4 linked regions of the Arabidopsis thaliana genome follow. The protein of the gene in region 1 interacts with the protein of each later gene in a pairwise test. Each region holds a gene or a part of one and is shown in the gene's direction. Other genes may lie near its edges. The genes, in order: KNAT2, RPL, BLH5 and BLH6.

The links.
Region 2: the proteins of KNAT2 (region 1) and RPL interact in binary tests that used the Arabidopsis thaliana proteins (3 or more experiments, as listed by UniProt).
Region 3: the proteins of KNAT2 (region 1) and BLH5 interact in binary tests that used the Arabidopsis thaliana proteins (3 or more experiments, as listed by UniProt).
Region 4: the proteins of KNAT2 (region 1) and BLH6 interact in binary tests that used the Arabidopsis thaliana proteins (3 or more experiments, as listed by UniProt).

What each region holds. Positions count from the first base shown.
Region 1 is NC_003070.9:26,574,701-26,582,529, forward strand, and holds KNAT2 (homeobox knotted-like protein), read left to right. Parts: upstream 1-1,785; 5' UTR 1,786-1,934; coding exon 1,935-2,207; intron 2,208-2,447; coding exon 2,448-2,582; intron 2,583-2,655; coding exon 2,656-2,794; intron 2,795-6,956; coding exon 6,957-7,198; intron 7,199-7,289; coding exon 7,290-7,445; 3' UTR 7,446-7,731; downstream 7,732-7,829. UniProt on the Arabidopsis thaliana protein: May play a role in meristem function, and may be involved in maintaining cells in an undifferentiated, meristematic state. Probably binds to the DNA sequence 5'-TGAC-3'.
Region 2 is NC_003076.8:393,782-399,643, forward strand, and holds RPL (POX (plant homeobox) family protein), read left to right. Parts: upstream 1-1,785; 5' UTR 1,786-1,972; coding exon 1,973-2,692; intron 2,693-3,392; coding exon 3,393-3,793; intron 3,794-4,147; coding exon 4,148-4,208; intron 4,209-4,545; coding exon 4,546-5,091; 3' UTR 5,092-5,344; downstream 5,345-5,862.
Region 3 is NC_003071.7:11,636,583-11,641,219, reverse strand, and holds BLH5 (BEL1-like homeodomain 5), read left to right. Parts: upstream 1-1,682; coding exon 1,683-2,117; intron 2,118-2,303; coding exon 2,304-2,683; intron 2,684-2,859; coding exon 2,860-2,920; intron 2,921-3,440; coding exon 3,441-3,914; 3' UTR 3,915-4,114; downstream 4,115-4,637.
Region 4 is NC_003075.7:16,529,845-16,535,178, reverse strand, and holds BLH6 (BEL1-like homeodomain 6), read left to right. Parts: upstream 1-1,816; 5' UTR 1,817-2,393; exon of another isoform or gene 2,394-2,605; 5' UTR 2,606-2,680; coding exon 2,681-3,331; intron 3,332-3,522; coding exon 3,523-3,890; intron 3,891-3,966; coding exon 3,967-4,027; intron 4,028-4,114; coding exon 4,115-4,633; 3' UTR 4,634-4,833; downstream 4,834-5,334. Other genes in the region: SSR16 (small subunit ribosomal protein 16), read left to right, coding at 1-95; AT4G34600 (uncharacterized protein), read right to left, coding at 5,221-5,334.

The sequences.
Region 1 (7,829 bases):
TTGTTAAAACATAACATATTAAGACAAGCATATAAAATTTTATAAACCATATTAAGATTATTTTGATAACATGTAATTGTATAGCATAAAACTACTTAGAAAGAAAGAGAAACAACCAAAGGAGAGTATTAAGACCTGGGATTCCCAAAATAAATAAATAAAATCCATAAGAAGCTAAGTAATCTCCAATTTCAGTAACATTTCTAACAACAGAAACAAATTTGTTCAAAACCACATATTGATGATATGAGATACAAAAAAGAATGACAATAAACTCCTACAAAGTTGAAGCAACCGAGTGGTACAATAATATATTAACAAAAACCTCAATACAAAGAATTGAAACCTAACAACACTAAATCACGGGAACAGTATGAACAATCCATGATGAAACATTCGAGTGGTACAATATTATCTTAGCAACATAATTATATGCACTTGATCTAATAATTTAGTCGTCACTTTTTGTTATTATTATTTTTTCTGCAAGACACACATTTTTTTTTTGCAATCATTTCTCGACGATAGTGATCATATAGATTATAGAAACTTGTGACCCCCCCCAAAAAATACAGAAAAGTTTAGAAACAATATAAATATGTGCTGTGAAGGCCACCGGTGGGGATTCAATACGATACGATCCAACGAAGTGAAATGAGAGAGAAGGAAAGTTCTGTCGTTTTTATAAGGTTTGATACTAAAACAAAGCTTTATGTCAGTTAAATTTCACACCAAAGTAGTCCGACGGATGTGTCAATCAAACCTGTCCATCATCAAAAAGACCTTTATGACATTTGTTTTTATTTTTTTTTGCGGAAAAAACGATATGGATCATCGGATCGGGTCTGGAGTAGACCCATGCAAAAATATAGTTTTTTTTCTTACAACAGGGTTTATAGATGGATTTTGGTTTATGACAAAAACTGCAGGTTCTGTTACTATATAAGGTAATGAAACATTTTGAGTTGATATTATACGCGACTAACAGATTCTCTATGAAAATAACAAGAAGTGCGATAAGTGGAGTGGCCACTATAAAAAATAGTTCCTAAGAGTGTGTTTAATTAGCAAATGACTGAAAGCAATTAAAAAACAAAAATTGTTTACTATGTTGTGATTGATAATGAGCACCTAGCTACCATAGACGTGTTTTACAGAGAAACAAAACTAGGTGAAAATTGAAAGAGTGAAATTGAAGTTGAACCGATCCGGTTAGACAACTAGAATCGTAGTAGCCTAGTAGGTGTCGGCCACCGTAATTGAAACAAAAAGCTTATTAATTAACAAAATTACCATCATTTGTTTTTACTGTCAAAATTCAAATTACCATCGTCTAACCTGTTTTTGTTAACAAGTACTAATTGTTGTCTTCATTAGCTAAGTCATAAATTCTAAAGGTTAGCGTGCTATTTTGATCATTTGTGCGATAATATTATATATCAAAAATAATCGTAACCATGTAATCGTACAGTTAAAAAAAGTGCTCTTGAATCACGAAGAAATCTTTTTATAATCACTCGAATCGTATTCCTTAACACATATGGCAAACCCTTGAAATCTTTCTTCTTTTATACTAGTACGACAAAATAAAATAAAAATTATGGTGTCTTTAAGAAAAACTTGTAAATTATCATAATAAACTATGAAAATTCATATTCGTGATTTTTTTTTTTTTTTGCTTTTCGTCACAAATCATTTTTTTTTTTTTTTGGTTTTTTGCTGAAATATTTACGATCATTGCCCTCAGACTACTATACTACGAGACCGCCTCAACTTGGCCAGTCTATCTATTTCCATTGTCTCTATCTCTCTCTCTCTTTGAAGCAGTTTGTTACTTCTTACTTTTGTGTTTCTTCATATTCTTCAGAAGCAAGCACAAGGCTAGGGATCGAAGAAGCGGCGATCACTGATCGTATCTCACTACGATCACATTAATGGATAGAATGTGTGGTTTCCGCTCGACGGAAGACTATTCGGAGAAAGCGACGTTGATGATGCCGTCCGATTATCAGTCTTTGATTTGTTCAACCACCGGAGACAATCAAAGACTGTTTGGATCCGACGAACTCGCTACCGCTTTGTCCTCGGAGTTGCTTCCGCGTATTCGAAAAGCTGAGGATAATTTCTCTCTTAGTGTCATCAAATCCAAAATCGCTTCTCATCCTTTGTATCCTCGCTTACTCCAAACCTACATCGATTGCCAAAAGGTGATCTCGCTGCTTTCGTGTTTTGTCTTTTCTTTTTCTTGTTGTGTATGATTTTGTGCTTTCAAGGTTAATTTGATTAAGCGTCAGGAATTTTACATGTATTCATCGTCGTATTTAAAGATAGTTCTCTTACTTTTTTTTTTCTATTCCACTTTAACCCTAAGATAAGATTGGAGAACTAGAGAGACTGTGTTTATATGTGAGAGTGATTTTTTTTTTTTTTTGGTTATTGATTGACAGGTGGGAGCGCCTATGGAAATAGCGTGTATATTGGAAGAGATTCAGCGAGAGAACCATGTGTACAAGAGAGATGTTGCTCCATTATCTTGCTTTGGAGCTGATCCTGAGCTTGATGAATTCATGGTTTCTCACTTTGTTCGTTGCCTTGAACTTTGATCTTCTAGTTTTTCTTAAAATATAATTTTGTTTTTTTGTGGTGTGATTCTAGGAAACCTACTGTGATATATTGGTTAAATACAAAACCGATCTTGCGAGGCCGTTCGACGAGGCTACAACTTTCATAAACAAGATTGAAATGCAGCTTCAGAACTTGTGCACTGGTCCAGCGTCTGCTACAGCTCTTTCAGGTCAGCACTAAAGTGATATCTATCTCTTGTTCGAGTGTACTTTTGATTTCTTGTTTCCTAGCTAGTGTTTTTATTGATCTTTGAGCACTATCCTCGGTTTGTGTGTCCTTTAAAATCCTTGCGCAAATTTCTCCTTACAGTTACAGATCTTGCGGATTAGAAAATCTATCCTCAGATAACTTTTCCTTTCTGTGCTTCAATGATCAGTTTCTTGGAATTGATGGAAAAATTGGAAATCTTCTACTGTTTTTTTTTTCCTTAAAGAAAACGAGAATCGATAAGTTGTTGTAGCTGAAACTAGGAGGAGCTTAGTAGATCCGGTTTAGACAACCCAAGGCAATAAAAGTCAGAAAAAAACAAGGAAACTCTAAAACCCTAGTTTTGTTAGAAAACAATGATTGATTCAGCCACATCTTTTATATTTGGTAGAAGTCATTCATGCTTTAGATAGATCCATGACCTTCACACATCTTTGTGACATTTATTTTCTATCATTAGCTATGGTTTAAGCTGTGGGGCGGATATTAGGGGAAAGCCGGTGGGTAGGATTTTCTCTGTTAGTGATATTTATTTTCCTAGTGATTTTGGTATGGTATACTTTTCTTTTGTTACTTTTATATATACTTGTATTATTATCTTCTCCTCTGTCAGAAGAAAATATGGGTCTATGAAAGCAAAAACTTTTGCGCTAGAGATTCTGATTTTGACGTTTCAGTGTCGTACTGGAAGTTTTTTAATTGCTTATTTCCAGTGAAAATTCAATCATAGAGAAAAAACCTAGTCATAACTTCCACTAATAAATGCCACTGATTTTTCTTGAGTTTGTCCTTGGCTTCATGTTTAGATCTCTAGTAGTATCGCTTGTTTTCATCTTCATTAAGAGACTGATGGGTAAAACAAAACTTTACTAGTTCTTGATTACTCCAACTTCTCTTGGTGAATGAACCAAAGTTTATACTACTTTTCCATAGAAAGTGTCAGACTTAAGTTTTATCCATGTCACTTTAGTTTTTACTATTAGAGAGATAAAAATTTATTGTGTATAATGAGTATAACATAAGATTGATTTGTTTTCTTAGTGTATGTGAAAATTAATGACACTAGCCCTTATTTTTGAATACATTGTATTTGCACCTAAGGGTCTTACATTTGAAGTCCACTGTGTTCAAATTACATGTACAAAATCATTGGTGTGATTAATTTTCACGAACCTATCTGACTTAGTAAACCAAAGAAGTGTCTTGATCAGGTCAAATAGTTGGATTTTGTGTTTCTTTAGCTCGAAAAAGCTAAACCAAATCTCTGTTGGATTTCAGTTAATCTGAGCTCATGCGCATGTAAGTCCATAAAAATGCTTGATGGCCAAGAGGCTTGTATATTCTGCATGTCGTGGTTAATGTGTCTGTTATTCTTGTATTCTTGTTGGAATTTTATGTGAATAAATAAATGATTGAAATGCATTAAGACACTTACACAATGTAAGTGAGGTTTACTAATTTGCCGAGGTATTAAACTAAACTTAATGGTACCTTCTTTTCCACCATTTGTTTTCTTAATTAAGCAGAATAGAACTTTGTAAGTATTTTACAAGCAGCCCAAATAAGGAATAGTAGGTTTCTTAAAAGAATGTAATTTTAGTTGTCTTTGTGTTGTTTTTGTAGCTTATATTGGTTAAACCTTTCCAACAGGGCAAAAATTAGTTTCTTGTTAATCTACACTAATCTACTTAGCCACGTTCATGTTGTCAGAATACGTGTGTATATTTTTTATAAGTAAAGTATTTCACTATCTTAGGGATTTTAAAGTAATCATTTTACTTCTTCATCTCCACCTGATAAGAACTAGCTGGAAAAAAATTGGAACTACAATATAGTGGAATTCAGCTTTAATAGTCTTCTTTTTCTTATATGTTGATATCAAATGCTGCTTCGGTTGTACTTTGTTAGCATTGTTTAATTCCGAAAAGTTGTTAATACTTATCAGCGTACTTAATTAATTGGAGTTTACATAGGGAATAATCTTGTCCAAAAGGTTGAAAAACAGATCACTTGCAGCTTGAATTTATCTTTATTGGACGAATGTTTAGTTTTTTAATGGTTTTGAAGTACCACTTACCTTTTTAGCGTAATCTCATGTATGATTTTGAAGGAATATATATTACCTTATGAACATCTTTTCCTTGGTCAATACCTTTTTCTGTTTCTTAAGTCCCGAGAAAGGACTTTCTTTTCAACTGAATATCTTAAACTAATAGTATAACTCATAATATGTAGTTTTCAGAGTCATGTGCTTTTGGTTTCTTTTCGTGCTAATATGCTTTAGGAATAAACCAAATCCTCTTTAGTCAACTGATGTTTGTCATAGCAATTGTGTTTACTTATTTTTTTCGTTCTCGCTTTAGTGTGCAATTGACCCTTTTCGTGATTAAGATGGTCAATCTTGGCCATGGTTTTTGTTCCATCCTCATATTTTCTTCTAATCATTTGGTGTTCGGATGGTGTATTGATACAATGAGATCCATGTGCGATTTTGTATCCATATGTGGAATTTAGGACTATTGTTTAAGATTATTCACTACAGTCTACAACTAGTATTTTTGTGTTGTAAAATGCATTCACCCTAGGTCCCTATGCATTCACCCTAGATATATCTTTGGCTGTGAATGATATTCTATTCATTCAATGTTCGTAGGAAACTCGAAAAGCATGTTCTTTTGAACAAAATACTCTGTCATGGCACATTAGTTACTTCACCAGTTCTAGACATGATAATACTGATAATCTGTTTGGTTATATCACCTTCGTTGATAGAATGGTCCTTTTGACACGCACAAAAAAACACACCCAAATGCTTGAATTAGAAATCTTTTAGCCCTTTTTAATTTCTAAATAGAAGAAGTTGGAGACAGAAGCATGAGGTGGTCAAGTGTCACATGGACTCCCGTGGATTACGTTGGTGGATCCCTTTATGACCCAATCGCAACACTCTCTTTTTAAGATTTGATTTGATTTTAAAGAAAAAGAAAGAGAAGAAAATAGGGGAGAGACATGGGTTTTGATTTATGTACAATGCAATCATCTTACGACTAATGTTTCTCCACATCTTTTTCTACTGTTGCTTAGTGGTTGTCATTTCCTCTCTGCGTTTGTTCCCTTAATGGGCCATGCAATTTCCACGTGTTTAACTTTTTTTGGGAGATGTACAAGTCTATCTACTTTTTTTTTATCAGTGCATGTTGTCTCTTTCGCATTGTCTTGATGTTATATAGGAACCAAATTCGGCTAATAGGTAAAGAACAAACCGAGTTACTATTGCACATACCATCCTCAACTAGCAAAGTTTTCATGGATAGGGTGTGAACTATATTTTGTGTGATTTGTCTAAGGATCAGCTCATTAGTGGTGTAGCAAACTACAACCTAAACTCTTTAGGGAGACTTTGAAACGATGTCTTTCTGTAATCACTAAGTTGAGAATACTAAGTGAAATTTCTATTAATGCAAATAATTTGACCATTAATCATGTTTAAACTCCCTTAATTAGGCTCCCTTTTAGTCGCAGTAACATAGGGGTCAGTATGGTATGGTCATAAATGGGGCATTATGAGAAAGTTCATAAATGTTGGGGAAGCGTTTTTTCCGGGGGTCACTCAAACAAGTGTCAGAAAGGTGATACGTGTCGTGACTCAGGTGGCTAGTGGTAAGTCCCAAAGGAGCACGTCAGTGGCAATGGAAGCTAAACTATTCAGTGACTGCGAAAGTTTTTGACTGATCATTTTTGTGCCCGGGTCTTGTAAAACCTCGATATTATCTCGCTATCCTTGTTTTTCCCCTTTTACCCCTTTCTTTCACCCTTTTTTTTTTTTTTTTTTCCTTTCTTTCACCCTTGTTCTCTTCTCTATGCTTTTTTGGCTCTTTTCTTCTTTTAGCTGCTTTAGCCACTTAGTCATTTAGCCGAGCCTACTAGTATCTTAGTGTTAGCTATGTTTGTTAGTGTTGGCATAGTGGTAGAATTTGCTTTCTACATTGTCAAATATGCTACCATAAATAGCACCACCATACATTCTCCTAGTACATTTTATCGGTATGGCACGTATTTGGCTAATACGTGGGAGCTAATCATTATTGAATCTTCTGTATGACATTATTCTCATGTATGAGCAGATGATGGTGCGGTTTCATCTGACGAGGAACTGAGAGAAGATGATGACATAGCAGCGGATGACAGCCAACAAAGAAGCAATGACCGCGATCTGAAGGACCAGCTACTACGCAAATTTGGTAGCCATATCAGTTCATTGAAACTCGAGTTCTCTAAAAAGAAGAAGAAAGGGAAGCTACCAAGAGAAGCAAGACAAGCGTTGCTCGATTGGTGGAATGTTCATAATAAATGGCCTTACCCTACTGTAAGTGTCTTTCTGATTCCACCGTAACCTAGCATACACTCATTAATTTATTTCTTCGACATATTAATATCCGCCTCTCGAATGTGTATAGGAAGGCGACAAAATATCTCTGGCTGAAGAAACAGGTTTGGATCAAAAACAAATCAACAATTGGTTTATAAACCAAAGGAAACGCCATTGGAAGCCTTCGGAGAACATGCCGTTTGATATGATGGACGATTCTAATGAAACATTCTTTACCGAGTAATGAAAAGAGAGACATGAAATTGTGCATTGTATAATTTTTACACTGTTTTTCCAAGAAAAGAAAACAGTAAAAAGCTTTTGGTAAATGGGGCATCATCGCGAATGAATGGAACCCGTTAGCCAAAACGGTCAAGGGCGTAACGAGACATTGTATTGGAAATAGTGGCAATATTATGTCACTAATCTTCCAATCATCCAAATTGATAGATTTCTTATTTGTATTGAACCTTACTTAGATAGCTGATGTGTCAACTAAATAATTTATTTTCATTATCCATTCGGGTAGAAGAATTCATTATCCATTCGAATTTTGTGACTATTTGGCTCGGTTTCGGAGCCGGATTTTTCGGATCGGTTTTTGGATTTCGGATTTTATGCCCAGCCC
Region 2 (5,862 bases), on another chromosome or scaffold:
TTGTAATGGTTAATGGTTTCAATGGTTTACCCAATTAACCCATCAAATTTTATAAAATTGAATTAAACCAACTAAAATCTCTAAACCAATGCCAATTTAAGTTTAACCAACACATCTAAACAAATTTAATAAAATTAATATTTTTCCAAATTTCTTAAATATACAAGCGATGAAATTGAGAAAAAATAAATTCGTAATTTTTCCACCAAAAAACATAAACCCGTGATTTTCTCGCCAAAAACGTAAACCCGTGATTTTCCCGCCAAAAACGTAAACCCTTAATTTTCCCGCCAAAAACGTAAACCCGTAATTTTCCCACCAAAAACGTAAACCCGTGATTTTCCCGCCAAAAATGTAAACCCGTGATTTTCCCGCCAAAAACGTAAACCCGTGATTTTCCCGCCAAAAACGTAAACCCGAGATTTTCCCGCCAAAAACGTAAATCCGTTATTTTTTCGCCCAAAACGTAAACCCATGATTTTTCCGTCAAAAACGTAAATCCGTGATTTTCCCGCCAAAAACGTAAATCCGAGATTTTTTCGCCGAAAAGCTTAAACCCGAAATTTTCCAGCCAAAAACGTAAACCCATCATTTTCCGGCCAAAAACGTAAAAAACTATAATTTTCCTGTCAAAACGTAAATCCGTGATTTTCCGTACCTAAAACGTAAACCTGTAAAAAATAAAATCCGTAAATATCTTAAGTTTGATGATAATGAATTAATAATGATAATTATTTATTATTGTTTTATAATAATAATTAATTAAATTATTACTTAAATGGGTTAACATCTCAAACCATTAAATTAAATGAGTTATAGGTTGACCCAACACATTTAACAAAATGAGTTGGGTCAACCCATAACTCATTTATTCTTAAACTCATTTGATTATAAGTTGAGTAGAGTTGGGTTATCCATTTTGATATCCCTACTTTTAGTACTATAGCTACAAGCCTACAACTATGGAGATTAGTGTGAATGTATGATTGTCGAATAAAAATAGAGTGACTAAATATTTTAAGCGTAAAAAGGTATTTATTCCAGCAAAAGAAAAGAAGAAAAACGACAAAAAGAAGACTTAAAAGTTGTAGAAATGTCAGTACGTATGTGAAAGACTGAGACACAGAACACTTTGTACAAGAACCAGTTCCAGTGTCACCGGTTACAGCCGGTCGCCTTCTCTTGATTCCCCAAAGCCTCTCCCACCAAACCCGGGACTTTTCACTTTTCATCAGTATTTTTTTTTGTTAAAGATTTTCATCAGTATTTTATATATATATATATATTATAAAGATCGAATTTGTTTGCATGATGAGGAAAGTATATCGAGTTACTATGTATCCATCGTTTGAAATACCCGTTTTAAAAAAAAATAATGAGATTTATTTTTAGGACTTCAGTATATATACGATTAACTTTTAACAGTTGTGTGACTAAAACGAAATGTAACAAAAATAAGAGAAAACTACAAAACAGGTAGTGAAAAATGACAAAAAAATTGTAGGACGCTAAGACGAAAAAATGATTCAAGAAAGAATATGTCTTTTCAATTTCAGTTTTACGAAATCGTGTAATAACGTAAATACTAAATCACGATTTCACAGAACCATATAAAATACTAAAATCCCACGCAATCATTAAACTTAATTCACCATTCTACGGATGACCTATGAGAGAGCATTGAATTGGCTTTAGTAACAAACACCAAAAAGATGAATCTTGACCAAATTTGTAATGCTCATACTAAATTCCTCCAAGTCTTATAAACATTAGATATTTTATATTTTAGGTTTTCAAAATATGTCATATAAAGAAAAATTTGATATACATATTGATCGTGCTTCAAAAAGACACCAAAAGAGCTTCTCTCTCTCTTAACCTCTCGTTTCGCCATTATCTCTTACACTGTTACTCTCTCTCTCTCTTCTTCTTCTTCTTCTTCTTCTGCATCTCATCGACATCATCCTTTCCCATGGCTGATGCATACGAGCCTTATCATGTTCTTCAACAAAGCCGGCGAGACAAACTTCGTATTCCATCTCTCGATTCCCACTTCCACTTTCACCCTCCTCCTCCTCCTTCCTCCGGCGGCGGAGGTGGCGTCTTTCCTCTCGCTGATTCCGATTTCCTCGCAGCCGGTGGCTTTCACTCCAACAACAACAACAACCACATATCTAACCCTAGCTACAGTAATTTCATGGGATTTCTCGGTGGCCCTTCTTCTTCTTCATCCACCGCAGTCGCCGTCGCCGGAGATCATTCCTTTAACGCCGGACTTTCTTCCGGAGACGTTCTTGTCTTCAAACCCGAGCCTCTATCTCTATCTTTGTCCTCTCACCCTAGACTCGCTTACGATCTAGTCGTTCCCGGTGTTGTTAACTCCGGATTCTGTAGATCTGCCGGTGAAGCCAACGCCGCCGCCGTCACCATCGCGTCTAGAAGCTCTGGTCCTCTCGGACCTTTCACGGGCTACGCGTCGATTCTTAAAGGATCAAGGTTCTTGAAACCAGCACAGATGCTTCTTGATGAGTTTTGTAATGTGGGTCGTGGGATTTACACCGACAAAGTCATCGACGACGATGATTCTTCTCTGCTTTTTGATCCGACGGTTGAGAATCTCTGCGGTGTTTCTGATGGCGGCGGAGGAGATAATGGAAAGAAAAAATCAAAACTCATCTCCATGCTCGACGAGGTATACAATAACATGATCAATTCTAATCTCTTTAAATTATTGAAATCTGTAAATTTTCTTTAATTATTGTCTATACTTTCTTACAAGTATGTGAATTATTGTGTTAAATGTTCACAGTTTTTGGTCGGTGTCCTTTGGAATTGGAGACAAAATGTGTTAAATGATATGTCTCTTAAAAAGATCTTCCTTGGAAAATGAAACTCCTTCAAAGCCATTTTAAAATTATATGATATTTTATTTAATTCATTATAATACCATATGTTAATTAAATTAATGTTCCCTACGTTTTGCATGAATAGATGATGTTATAGCGTCCATTTTAATACATTATATAAATTACAAGCTTGCCATCTTCATGCTGATTTTTAATAGAATTTTAAGGTTATACTAAAGTAAGGATAATATTATCTTGAGGAAGTAACTTTATATAGAGCTTCCTTAGCTCTTGATCTGAATTTGTGAATTAGATTCTTCAAATCTTAGGGGTATAAACATTAAGTGATAAAAAGAGAACGTCTTCTTTATGAAAGGAATATATGCATTATATGATCTTAAAGCTAGGGACTTAAAGATTTTAATTAGTTTATTCCGAGGTATATAACATACTTTTTGAGTGAGGAAATAATGTATAAATTTATAATCACCCATTTTATTATGTAAGTGGGGGAATCTAAAAACATTTCCATGTGACGTTTTGAAGGTTTACAAGAGGTATAAGCAATACTATGAGCAGCTACAAGCTGTGATGGGATCATTCGAATGCGTTGCAGGTCTCGGGCACGCTGCTCCGTACGCTAACTTAGCCTTGAAAGCATTGTCTAAGCATTTCAAGTGTTTGAAGAATGCTATAACGGACCAGCTTCAATTCAGCCACAACAACAAGATCCAACAACAACAACAATGTGGTCATCCGATGAACTCTGAGAATAAGACTGATTCTTTAAGATTTGGAGGAAGTGATAGTTCTAGAGGCTTATGTTCTGCTGGTCAAAGACATGGATTTCCTGATCATCATGCTCCTGTTTGGAGACCGCACCGTGGCCTACCCGAACGTGCTGTTACTGTTCTAAGGGCTTGGCTCTTCGATCATTTCTTGCATCCGTAAGTAACCCTTCTCGCCATATAAATGCTTTTGAAAGTTGTTGGATTCGAGTTTGAACTTGGTTCCAACAATTGATTAAACTAAATGCAAACGTTTAATTGATCATGAACCAAATTGTATATATATGCTTGTGAACAATAGCTTTATATGTGTGTGTCAGTGTGAATAAATATGTGTGTATCGAAGTGTATTTTTACTTGGAAGTATGTTTTAGATGGGACATGTCGACTGCTTGTTTGTTTCCCAAACTTGGAGATGTCGTGTTGCAAGCGTAATTATGTGTCTATATATATGTGTATGTTAGTATATACAATGATATATTAAATTGTTGTTGTCTGTGTCTTTTGTTGCAGTTATCCAACAGATACAGACAAACTCATGCTGGCTAAGCAGACAGGTCTCTCCAGAAATCAGGTTTCACTTCTGATATCTTCAGTCTTCTTCTTTTTTCTCTTTCCATCTTTTCTTGTTCACAATTTAACAAATTTCTTGCTAATTAAGCATGCACATAGTCACATAGATAAATATATGCTTTTATGAAATGAGTTTCTGTTGTCGGACAATAATTATATGTTTTAAATCTTTTCACATATATCATTAGTATAGTAACTATGTTATAATTTGGTTTATTAGGTTTGAATAAGTGTTACACTTTTGTTTTTGAAAATTTATCCGTTGGTGATAATGAATAATTTAGGGATTTTCTATCGCTTGAGGGTTATTAATTTATTATGGTAAAATGTTATTTTAGGTATCGAATTGGTTCATAAACGCAAGAGTTAGGGTTTGGAAGCCGATGGTGGAAGAGATTCACATGCTGGAGACTCGACAATCTCAGAGATCTTCTTCTTCCTCTTGGAGAGACGAACGTACTAGCACCACCGTCTTCCCTGACAACAGCAACAACAACCCATCTTCGTCCTCGGCACAGCAAAGACCTAACAACTCATCTCCGCCTAGACGGGCACGAAACGACGACGTTCATGGCACAAACAACAACAACAGCTATGTAAACAGTGGGAGCGGCGGCGGTAGTGCGGTTGGTTTCTCGTATGGAATTGGGTCGTCGAATGTGCCGGTGATGAATAGCAGCACAAACGGAGGAGTGTCTTTGACGTTAGGGCTTCATCATCAGATTGGGTTACCGGAGCCTTTTCCGATGACAACTGCTCAGAGGTTTGGGCTTGATGGTGGTAGTGGCGATGGTGGTGGTGGGTATGAAGGGCAAAATCGTCAGTTTGGGAGAGATTTTATTGGTGGTAGTAATCATCAGTTTCTACATGATTTTGTAGGTTGAGATTATTTGTGTGGAAAGGAAAAAATATGTTTGACGTTTGGGTATGTATAAGAAGATATGGGGGAATTGAAATGCATATGATGTGTATATTAGAATGTTTCTTCTTCTTTTTTTGTTGTTTGCTTACTTTCACAAATGTTATCTTTTTAAGAAATGAAATTGGATTCAATAACCAATGTTAAAAACATGGGTTAGACTTTAGAGTTGTCTATGTCTTGGTGAAATATAAAAGGCATCTATCATTGTTTTAATATTTTGGCATGATTCAAAACATGGTGCTTTTTTTTTTTTTATGTATGTCACAATTATCGTTGAAGAACGCGATTAAGATGTTTATCATTGATCGTTGATATTATATTTTGAACTATCTTGTTTTACTTGATAGTAAACATTGACTAAACAACATGTTTTCAAACCCTAAACCTTGAAATATTTCAGACTATTTGAGTTATCTTTTTGAGTCGGATGCAGTTTTGACTCCGATCCGCTCAACATTGTTGAATTCTTCTACTCATAAAAGAAGTTTGAGCCGATTTCAAACACACAAAACAAATGAGTTCGGTTTAATGTTCAGTGTGTACTAATACGTTGGCTTTTGAAGATCACATGAGAGCAAAAGTATTGAAAATAAAATTGTGCTTTTGTTGCTTCAAATAACTTTCCATTTGCTTTTGGAAAACAAGAAAGATATATATATATATATATATATATATATATACATAACCTTTCCCTCTCATGGGAAAAAAGTAAATCTTTTTCTTTGTAGAATTT
Region 3 (4,637 bases), on another chromosome or scaffold:
CTAAAAAGGAAAAATACTATTATCATAAAGTGAAAGATATAAATACAACTTGGATCTGACCGACACGATGAATTCTCATACACAGTCTCAATCCACCAAACTAAATAGTTATTATCACATTCAATAATAGAAAAAAAATTGATCTCAACACATATCGCGATATCAATTAAGATACGTCTAGCTTTATTTCGGTGTGTGATGGGAAGCTTTCCGAGGAATACAGGCAGATAATGGCATCACCAAAAAATAATGTCTAAATGTAATCTATTAATAAAATCCAAATTTTATATTAGTATTCGAAATTATTTTCTAGATACATTACTATGTCAAAATGTGTTTTAACTATGGATGGATGCTTAATTCGAAGAGTAATGAATTTCCGGGAATTGTGGACCATGTGGTCTATTTTCCAATGTACCATTACTATCTTCAAACACAAGTACTGACAACACAAAGAAAACATAAGAGAAAATATGATTTAGAAAACTATATGAAAGGAATAGGGAAATTTTGAAGATAAAGGCGGAACCAGGCAAATAAACTTTATTTATTTTGGCTGATAAATTTTTAAACATAGATTTGCATTGCAATACAGTTAATTAGTTGTTTAGTTGTGGAAAAGAAGAAAAAGAGTGACTTGTCGCAAACTAATATGGTTATCTAAATACATAAAAGAAGACTTTTGATGTGTGGAGTGGAAGTAGACGTTTCCTCGTTCTTCAACTATCTCCATGGTTCTGCTGACCCACTTCTATTATCTTTTCACATACATTTAACTATACACATATACATAGATTCATTGTAGATTTTAATTTAGTAATAATAATACAATATACTAATAATAAATGTTGACCTACTAAGTTATTCATGTAGGGATCATATAGATGCGTTGCCAAATATTAAACGTGCGGACATCAAATGATAAGACAATACTACCATCTGTAATATATTTTTCTCGTCAACAACCATTAATTAAAATCTTATTTCACCTATAGTATACAAATGGTAAAACGAATGACAATGATAGAAGTGTGATCGTAAAAATATATATATGGTAGCTATACTTATTCTTAGATAGATTGTCTCGTAGATCTACATTTGCGACCACATTGAAATTTTTTAGCTAGGTTGGATATTGGGTGTGAATCGTGCCTAAGATGCAAGTGAGAAATATTGGATATGTAGCAGTAGCATGCCGTGCATATATCATGTATGCTAGAATTGGTGATTGGTCAAAATCCATTGAACTTCGAAACATCACAAGAAAAATATTAATCGTGAGTGTCACTGTTTAGTTGTCCAATGAGATATAAAAGAAAAAAGTACATATTTTTCCCATTTATGAAAAGTCCAATCACATTTTATTTATAAAGGCGACTTATTGGACTTTCTAGTTGACAGATCAATGAAGCAGAGGATATTTAGATGATCATCGCAAGCAGAGAGAAAGACACGTCGAAGAAGACAATGAGAAACTCACACCCATAATTTGCTGCTCATCATTTCTAATTATTAAATAAAAACGGTAATTTAATTTTCTTGATTTGTCACATCTTTATTTCATCATCTTTTGCTTACCTTTTCTTCCTAAGCTCTTGGATATTATTAATGTTTTAGATCGATTTATATTATAATTTGATATTTTCTTGAATTGCAAGTTTTGTTGCTTAATTGTCAGAATAATGGCTGCTTTCTTTCTTGGAGAATCTGAAATGAGAGAACACTCTTCTGATCTTTTTATGATGACTCTGAATCCGTTTCGCGAGCAGACAACGACCACTAATGCTCATGACGATCACTTCTACAACTTGTGCTTTGGTTCCCAACAATATAGACCTCGAGATGAAGTAGGTCATATAGAACAAGGAAATTCTTCCATCTCCACTTTTTCAAACGGAGGAGTCTTCAGGGCTTTGGCTCCGATCTACTTGAAAGCGGCTCAAGAATTACTCAATGAGATTGTCAATGTTGGAAACGGTAGCCACGGCGCAAAACAAGAGCGACCGGTGAGTAAAGAGTCCACGATTTATGGAGTTGAGGACATCAATGGTGGCTATAAGCCTGGCGTAGCTGCTTTGCAAATGAAGAAAGCAAAACTCATCTCCATGGGTGAAATGGTAACTTATTTATACCTACCTATATAATATGTGATACACAAATAATAATAATAAGATCTTTGTATATACAAACCAACCATGGTGATATATATAATGGCAATAAACTTTCTGTTACTTTGAGATCGGGACTCAAGTTCAGTCCATATATTTGGTTATTGCATGTTAAGTATTTGATACTTTATAAAGGTTTCAAAGATTGGTAAATTGATTTGGGAAATGAATTTGGTAAATTATACACAGGTGGAACAGAGATACAAGCAATACCATGACCAAATGCAGACTATAATCTCATCGTTTGAGCAAGCTGCGGGTTTAGGCTCAGCAAACTCATACACACATATGGCGTTACAAACAATATCAAAGCAGTTTCGTGCTGTAAAAGACATGATAAGTTTGCAAATCAAGCAAATAAACAAGCTCTTGGGACAAAAGGAATTTGACGAGCAGCTTAAGAAGTTGGGAAAGATGGCACATCACCATTCAAATGCTTGGAGACCGCAGAGAGGTTTGCCCGAAAAAGCTGTTTCCGTTCTACGCTCTTGGCTCTTTGAGCATTTTCTTCATCCGTAAGTAACGTTTTCTTCTATCTTTAATTCTTGTTACGATTATTGTCGATATATCAGAATGATGGGACCTTGAAGCAAAGGGAACTAACTAAGGATATGGAAGCTAGGATCATTACTTAGTTTTGTATAGACATGCATGCTAATGATTTAGTTGTGTCTTGTTTTGGTTTGTATAGATATCCGAGGGATTTGGATAAGGTAATGCTTGCCAAACAGACTGGCCTTACTAAGAGTCAGGTAATTGATTTCGATTATCAGAAGTTGGACATACTTAAGTTTCTTAATGTTAGATGTCTCATACATAGTACATATACAATTTCATGACATCATCTAACACCGACTATCAAGAATAAATAATCTACAGGTAAAACCGAATATATATATAGATTCAAACAAATTTTATTCCGATCAAAAAAATATTTTTAGAAAGATATCTCTTTATTTCTATTTTTTTTTCTTTTCGAGTCTGAAAACAAAAACGTACCCAAGAATTCTAAGAAAAGCAGGTAAACCAAATATATTTTGGTAAATTTATTTAGATAGATGATGTATATTTATTTTATTATAATTATTTTAATGAAAATAGCGATGATAGCATACGAGAAATATCATATATGTGATCCTTTGTAAAGTAAATCAAATTTATTTTGGTTAAATTAGTAATTATATATATTATGGAATACTTTCTTTTAGCACCCATGATTATATATAATCAAAATAAGTATTGTTAATAGTATCTTGTGTAAAATGGATGTAGGTGTCAAATTGGTTCATTAATGCTCGAGTTCGAATGTGGAAGCCACTGGTGGAGGAACTTTATTCGGAAGAAATGGATATTGAAGAAAGCAGAAAAGGAAGTGACCGGTATAGTACCAAAGGTTCATCTTCAAAGCAACCGTACAATAATACAACTTCAAATGAATCTTCGAACACGATCCTACCCGCCTTTCGTCAAGGATTCACTGAAACTGAAACCCCTAGGCAAAATTCATCCTCAAGTTGCAGCGTAGTCATGAGGTTCACGAAGCAACACATGAATCAAGCGAACTTCATCAATTTCAACGGAGGGTTCGAAAACTATCACACAATGGATGGAAACAGCGTCTCCCTTTCCCTCGGCCTGCCTCATTCTTGTGACCAAACCTTTAATAACATTCATTTTGAGTCAACAAGTCATGGAACTGAGAACTCGGCCATATATTCATCTTCAACTTATCAAATCATGGATTAGAAATAATTAGTGGGGATGATATATTTTCTGCTTGTTGCTTACGTATATTCTGTGTATAGTTTTGGCCCTTGGATGGTTTCGTATGGGTTGATGTGTGTAGATTGATAGAGAGGAGATGATTAAGTAAAGGTTATGATAAAAATGTAGATAACAATACTAAGCTAAAGAAATATATATGGTTTTCGATAGTCAGGTTTTAGTTAGTATTGTTACGTATGAGTGTAAATGAAGATCAGATCAACCGTGAGATCCATATTAGCTAATAGTTGTGACTTTATGAACGTGTATGTGTGTGTGTGTGTGTGTATGTCCCCAAAAACCCTAACTTAATCTCCCACCTCTTCTGTCTTTTTTCTAAAATTTGTTCCACAAAACAATGAATATATATTAGCTATAATTATTATTTTGTTGTTTTACATGATCATCTTAGTGACCTAACCACAAGTTAATTGGCTACCAAGAAGTTATGGATTTATTTATTTGAGTTGATTTTTTGTTTGTCTTCCATATCCAATTTTTTATTTTTTATTTTACAAACTAACAAAATACAGAAATGTTTTAAAAATGATGGTAAAATAAGAATATGATAGAAAAAATGGGAGAGAATATTTTCTGTATCATTAAACACACAAACCGTTGCTACAAATTACATACTGAAAAATATGAATGAAGACATTATACAAACGACCAAACACACCTCTCTATGATACATAAATACCCCAA
Region 4 (5,334 bases), on another chromosome or scaffold:
TACCACCAAAGCCTATGGTAGTGGTCGGTTCGAAAAATGGGCAGAAGTCTACGAGCCAACATGTTTCACCCATTACAGGTGAAATCTTGAACTAAGAGTGTTGATGCGTTGAGCAAGAAAGAGCCTTTTGTGTCTGTGTGAAAGGAGTTTATGTAATGTTGTTTAAGACTTTTCTGTTTATGTGAAAGGAGTTAATGTAATGTTGTTTAAGACTTTTGCTTTCTATGTGAAAGCAGTTTAATGTTATGTTGGTTAAGACTTTTCTGCAACAGAGTTTGGTGAATTTTTATTCTTTAATATGAGCATGCCTTTTTACATTTAACAATTCTCACTTTAGACTAAATAGGCTTTGGTAAGAGGCCCATATTTTCAAAAATAAGATTCATTCTCAATATCTGGATTGTATGCTAAAAAAAGGAATTAGGCCCATATTTGCTCAAAAAAAAAAAAAAAAAAAGTTATCTGCCTGAATATGATCTTGGACATTAGAACCTCGTTCTTACCTTTTATGTATATCTTTACTTCTACATGGTAGTAGTTATATAATCTCGTTGATCTTGAAATTAGTTCTTATTCTCATATAGGTCTGAAACTCTTATATTGCTTCTCTTCAAAATTTTGTTCCGTCTTTTTGGTTTCAATATCTGCCAAAATGTATTTGTATCGTCTATATGTGTTAAAAACACATGCAAGAGACTAGTAACTAGACAATAATCTATTTCAAACTAAATTGGTCTTCTAATAAAAATGTTATAGTTATGGAAAAAAGGATGTGTCTTTGGGACATTACAGCTCTATTGGGCCAACAAAATCTCTCGCTTCGTATCCCATTAGATTCTCTCTTTCTCTCTCTCTCTCTCTCTTCCTTCAGAGATGTTCATTGTTCGTATTATTACGGCATCTCTGGCTCTGACCCTCTCGCTGCAACATCTGTCCCTATTCAGACAGCTATACCTCTATTTTCATTCTACACCTAATACTTTATATTTCTTCAAAAATCCACCCTGATCAACTTCCTATCACTATCTAAGTCATTCTCATTATCTTTGTGTTGTTGCTCTCAAGTCTCGCCCATGGAACTAACGATTCTCTCAGCCTCTAATCAGTATTGGACCCTAGTCTTAAAGATTATAGTAGTTACCAAGTTAGGACTTAGGACTTAGGATATAGACTTCTGTCAAACAAGAAAGTGAATGCTAAGTTTAGAAGCATTTGAAAGAAAAAGTACTAATCCATAAATATCTACAAGTTGTTTCCAGGAAAAGACAAAACTCAGTGGGGAAAACGAGCACTTATGGTGTTTACAAAATGAAAATAAAAAAGAAGAAAAAGTTGTGTTTGTTATTTTTTGGGACCCTTATTTCTTTAATAGTTGCATAGCCTCTGGACGACCAGAGTCCACGAATGTATAATCAGATACCAAAAAAGTATGAAAGAAATATATAAAGAAAAGGAAGAAGAAACAATCATGGCTTGGCTTACTTAAAAAGTAAAGTAGCTAATACTCTTAATCAAAACTCACATAATAAACATTAGTTATGTGTTTATAATGATAAGTTAATGACCTATTCATCAGAAAAACAAGTTGTGATATATATACTTAATCAAAATTCACCACGATCTACTAATCTGCTAAATTTTTATTGTTTACTTGCAAAATAAACTATATAACTCAACACTTCCGAATTTAAATTTAAATTTAAGATGACTTTATGTCAAGAAGCTAGTAGCATCTTTGATTCTTTGTACTTTTCAACTTAAGTAAAGAAAATAGAAATGTGATTATATGGAGGATATTGATTTAATCAATGTGTAATTAAGAGACAGAGAGTGATAAGGATTGGGATTAAGATTAGGTTTAGGATTGGGAGAAAGATGAAGAGAGAGGGGTTTAGGTCGACCAACTGGTTGTTAAAGATAGAAACTCCTTAACCATACATTTATATAACATTTTCACAATAATTTTCTTCTCTTTACCAAAGACTTGACTCCAGGAATCAATAAGCAAGAAGCAGGAGGTTCAAGCACCAACCAGATTATGGCTTTCTGAAGCAATATCTTCAGAAAACAAAATAAAGTTTTTATTTGATTTTCTTATTACCATATTATATACTATTAAATAAGAAATTCAAAGTTTTTTTTTTCCATTCTTTCTTTCTTCCGGAGGAGGGAGAGTATGATATGGGTCTTTCACGTGTGACATTGATGAGATGATGAATTCAAATTATATCTCATACCAAAAAAAAAACACAACCAAGAGAAAGAGGCGTAACCTTCTGATTTCTTTCTTTTAAGATATCAATAAAATCTTTCACATTTTCTAATTTTTAATTCTTTTCAAGATTTTGTTGTCTCCTTCAACAATCCATCAGAAGTAGCAGTTTGGTTTCCAGGTAATTTACTAATCTTTTTATTTCTATACAATTCTTCTTTTTTTTTTGTTGTCTATGGATTTGGCTTGCATCTCCATAATTGCATGCATAACCATATATTCAAGACATGTTGAAATCTTACATGTTTCTTAGCAATACACTGATTATATGGATCCTGCTCTGTTTCAATTGTTTTTGAATCTGTCTTTAATGTCAAGCATTTCCTCCATAAGGTTAAGTTCTTACGACCTGATCAGAAAACAAGGGACTATGGAACTCAAGTGAGCCAAAAAGAACACTCCATTTCGATGGAGAATTATCCAGAAACACAGTTTATTCCCGGAGATTCAATGATCCAGAATGCTATAGTTTCTTACTCTGAGGAATCAGCCGGTAGAGAAAGAAGAACTGAAGCTAACAATGTCTCAGCCTCACAAGAGAGGCAAGCATTGTCCAGATTTGGGGGAGTTCCACAAATGCAGAACATTGGTCAAGATTTCGGTTCTTGGAGAGATCAAGCGAGTGACAGGAACGGTTTCCAGCTAATGAGCGCGATGGCAGGTGCCACGGGGATTCTTCAGACCGGTCAGGGACTGTCCCTTAGCCTTGGTTCACAGATTCTTCCAGGAATTCATCAGATAAGCCATCAAAATATGGCGCCGAGAGGCAATGAGTATGCAACACAGAGTTTTCCGGGCGGGAATCAGAACTTGGATGTTGTGAGAACAATTCCCAACTCAAAGTATCTTAAGGCGGCTCAACAGCTTCTAGATGAGGCTGTTAATGTAAAGAAAGCTCTAAAGCAGTTTCAGGCAGAGGGAGATAAAAACAATGAGAACCCTCAAGAACCGAATCAGAGCACTCAAGACTCGAGCACGAATCCTCCTGCGGACATCTCTCAGTCGGAGAGACAAGAAATGCAGAGCAAGTTGACAAAACTCTTGTCAATGTTGGATGAGGTAATAACTTGAGACCTAATCTTCTTAATTTGATCATGTGATGGTTACCTTTTATAGGCCTTTTGTTATAATATTTTAAATGCAAAAAAGCATACATTTAAATAAATTGCAGCCATAATGTTGTTACATTTGGTATATATAGGATATGTTGAATATTTAAGAAAATGAGATATTTCTTGATTTTGGTAAAGGTGGATAGAAGATATAAGCAATATTACCAGCAGATGCAGATAGTTGTATCCTCGTTCGATGTGATAGCTGGTTATGGAGCAGCTAAGCCATACACAGCACTCGCCCTTCAAACAATTTCTCGCCATTTTCGTAGCCTAAGGGATGCGATATCCGGACAAATCCTCGTGCTACGTAAATGCCTTGGGGAACAACAAGATGGATCAGATGGGAAAAGAGTTGGGATTATAAGCCGGCTTAAGTACGTTGATCAACATTTAAGACAACAAAGAGGTTTTATGCAACCTCAAGCTTGGAGACCTCAACGCGGTCTACCTGAAAACTCTGTTTTGATTCTCCGTGCTTGGCTCTTTGAGCATTTTCTTCACCCGTAAGTCTCCCTTGAATCTTATCTCCACACATTTTCTTCATAAATAGTGATGATTACTGTTTGAAAACATGAATAGTTACCCAAAGGATTCTGATAAGATCATGCTAGCAAGACAAACGGGCTTGAGCCGCGGTCAGGTAAGGAATGTTTTATTTGAAGATTGTTTCTTTCTCTTCATAGTATAGTTTATTTATTGATTGTTGTGTGTTTTATGTTTGTAAAAGGTTTCAAACTGGTTCATAAATGCACGAGTGCGTTTATGGAAGCCAATGGTGGAGGAGATATACAAGGAGGAATTCACAGAGAATGATTCCAACTCGTCTTCCGAAAATACACCGAAAATGTCTGAGATAGGACCTGTTGCTGCTGATGATGAAGATCGAGCTCGAGAGTTTTCACAAGACCAGACCAAACCGGACCATGGACATGGATATGGCGAGGAAACTCGTGGCATGGTCCAAGGCAGTCATATGGATGGTCGCCGGTTCATGGCAGTTGAGCCTACATATCATGTGGCTGATACGTCAAGATTGGGTCGTGGTGATGTGTCCTTGACTCTAGGGCTTCAAAACTCTCAAGGACAGGACAATGTTGTGGCTATGTCTAGTGAGGCATACAACAACTTTTCCGGGGTGGATATTTACGAGAATGCCATCCCGGGAGATGAAATGGAGTATGTAAACCCCGGAAGTCGCCAGAACCGGATAAATTCTTCACAATTGGTACATGATTTTGTAGCTTGAAGAAGTAAGCAATGGAGAGGAATAAAGCATAGGTGTGATGAACTTATGATCAGTCTCAATTCTGTAGTGGAAGAATGTTGGTCAGAAGAAAAAGTTTTAGAAATATTTGTATAAAGTAAACATTCTTTTGTACAAGAATATAAGTGAGGTTAGGTCATTGGGACCAAACAGAATATGGTAAATGCAATTTGAGATCTGCAAGAGATGGACATTACACTGTAGACTTATTATCTTATCACATCTACGAAACTGCAACGTTCCCAATTCTCTTCTCTTTTTTTTTGTCTGGCACATATACAATCTGTATCCGTTTTCAGAATTAATCGAATATTTCAATATTAATTTTGATCATAAGGATTCTATCAGATAAATTGTAATATTCATCTAATGATGACTATTCACCAAATTTACATTCTGCATGATAGCAAAGAGCACTATCTAATCATTAATTTACTAGAAAACATATCTTGAAACTTATATATATGATTATCATTCAAACTTATTGCAGTGTTAGTATTTAGGTTTACATATATTATACATCTCAGAAAGTCTGGCATCTATATATAGTCGATCGGTGATATGCATGATCAGTTGGGAATAAGCTTGAAAGGAGGTCTCACGAGCTTTGGTTTAGGACTGGAGTGGCCATAGTCTCTTGAATTCATTCTCAGAATTCTCTCATGCTCATGTATTCTTCTTTC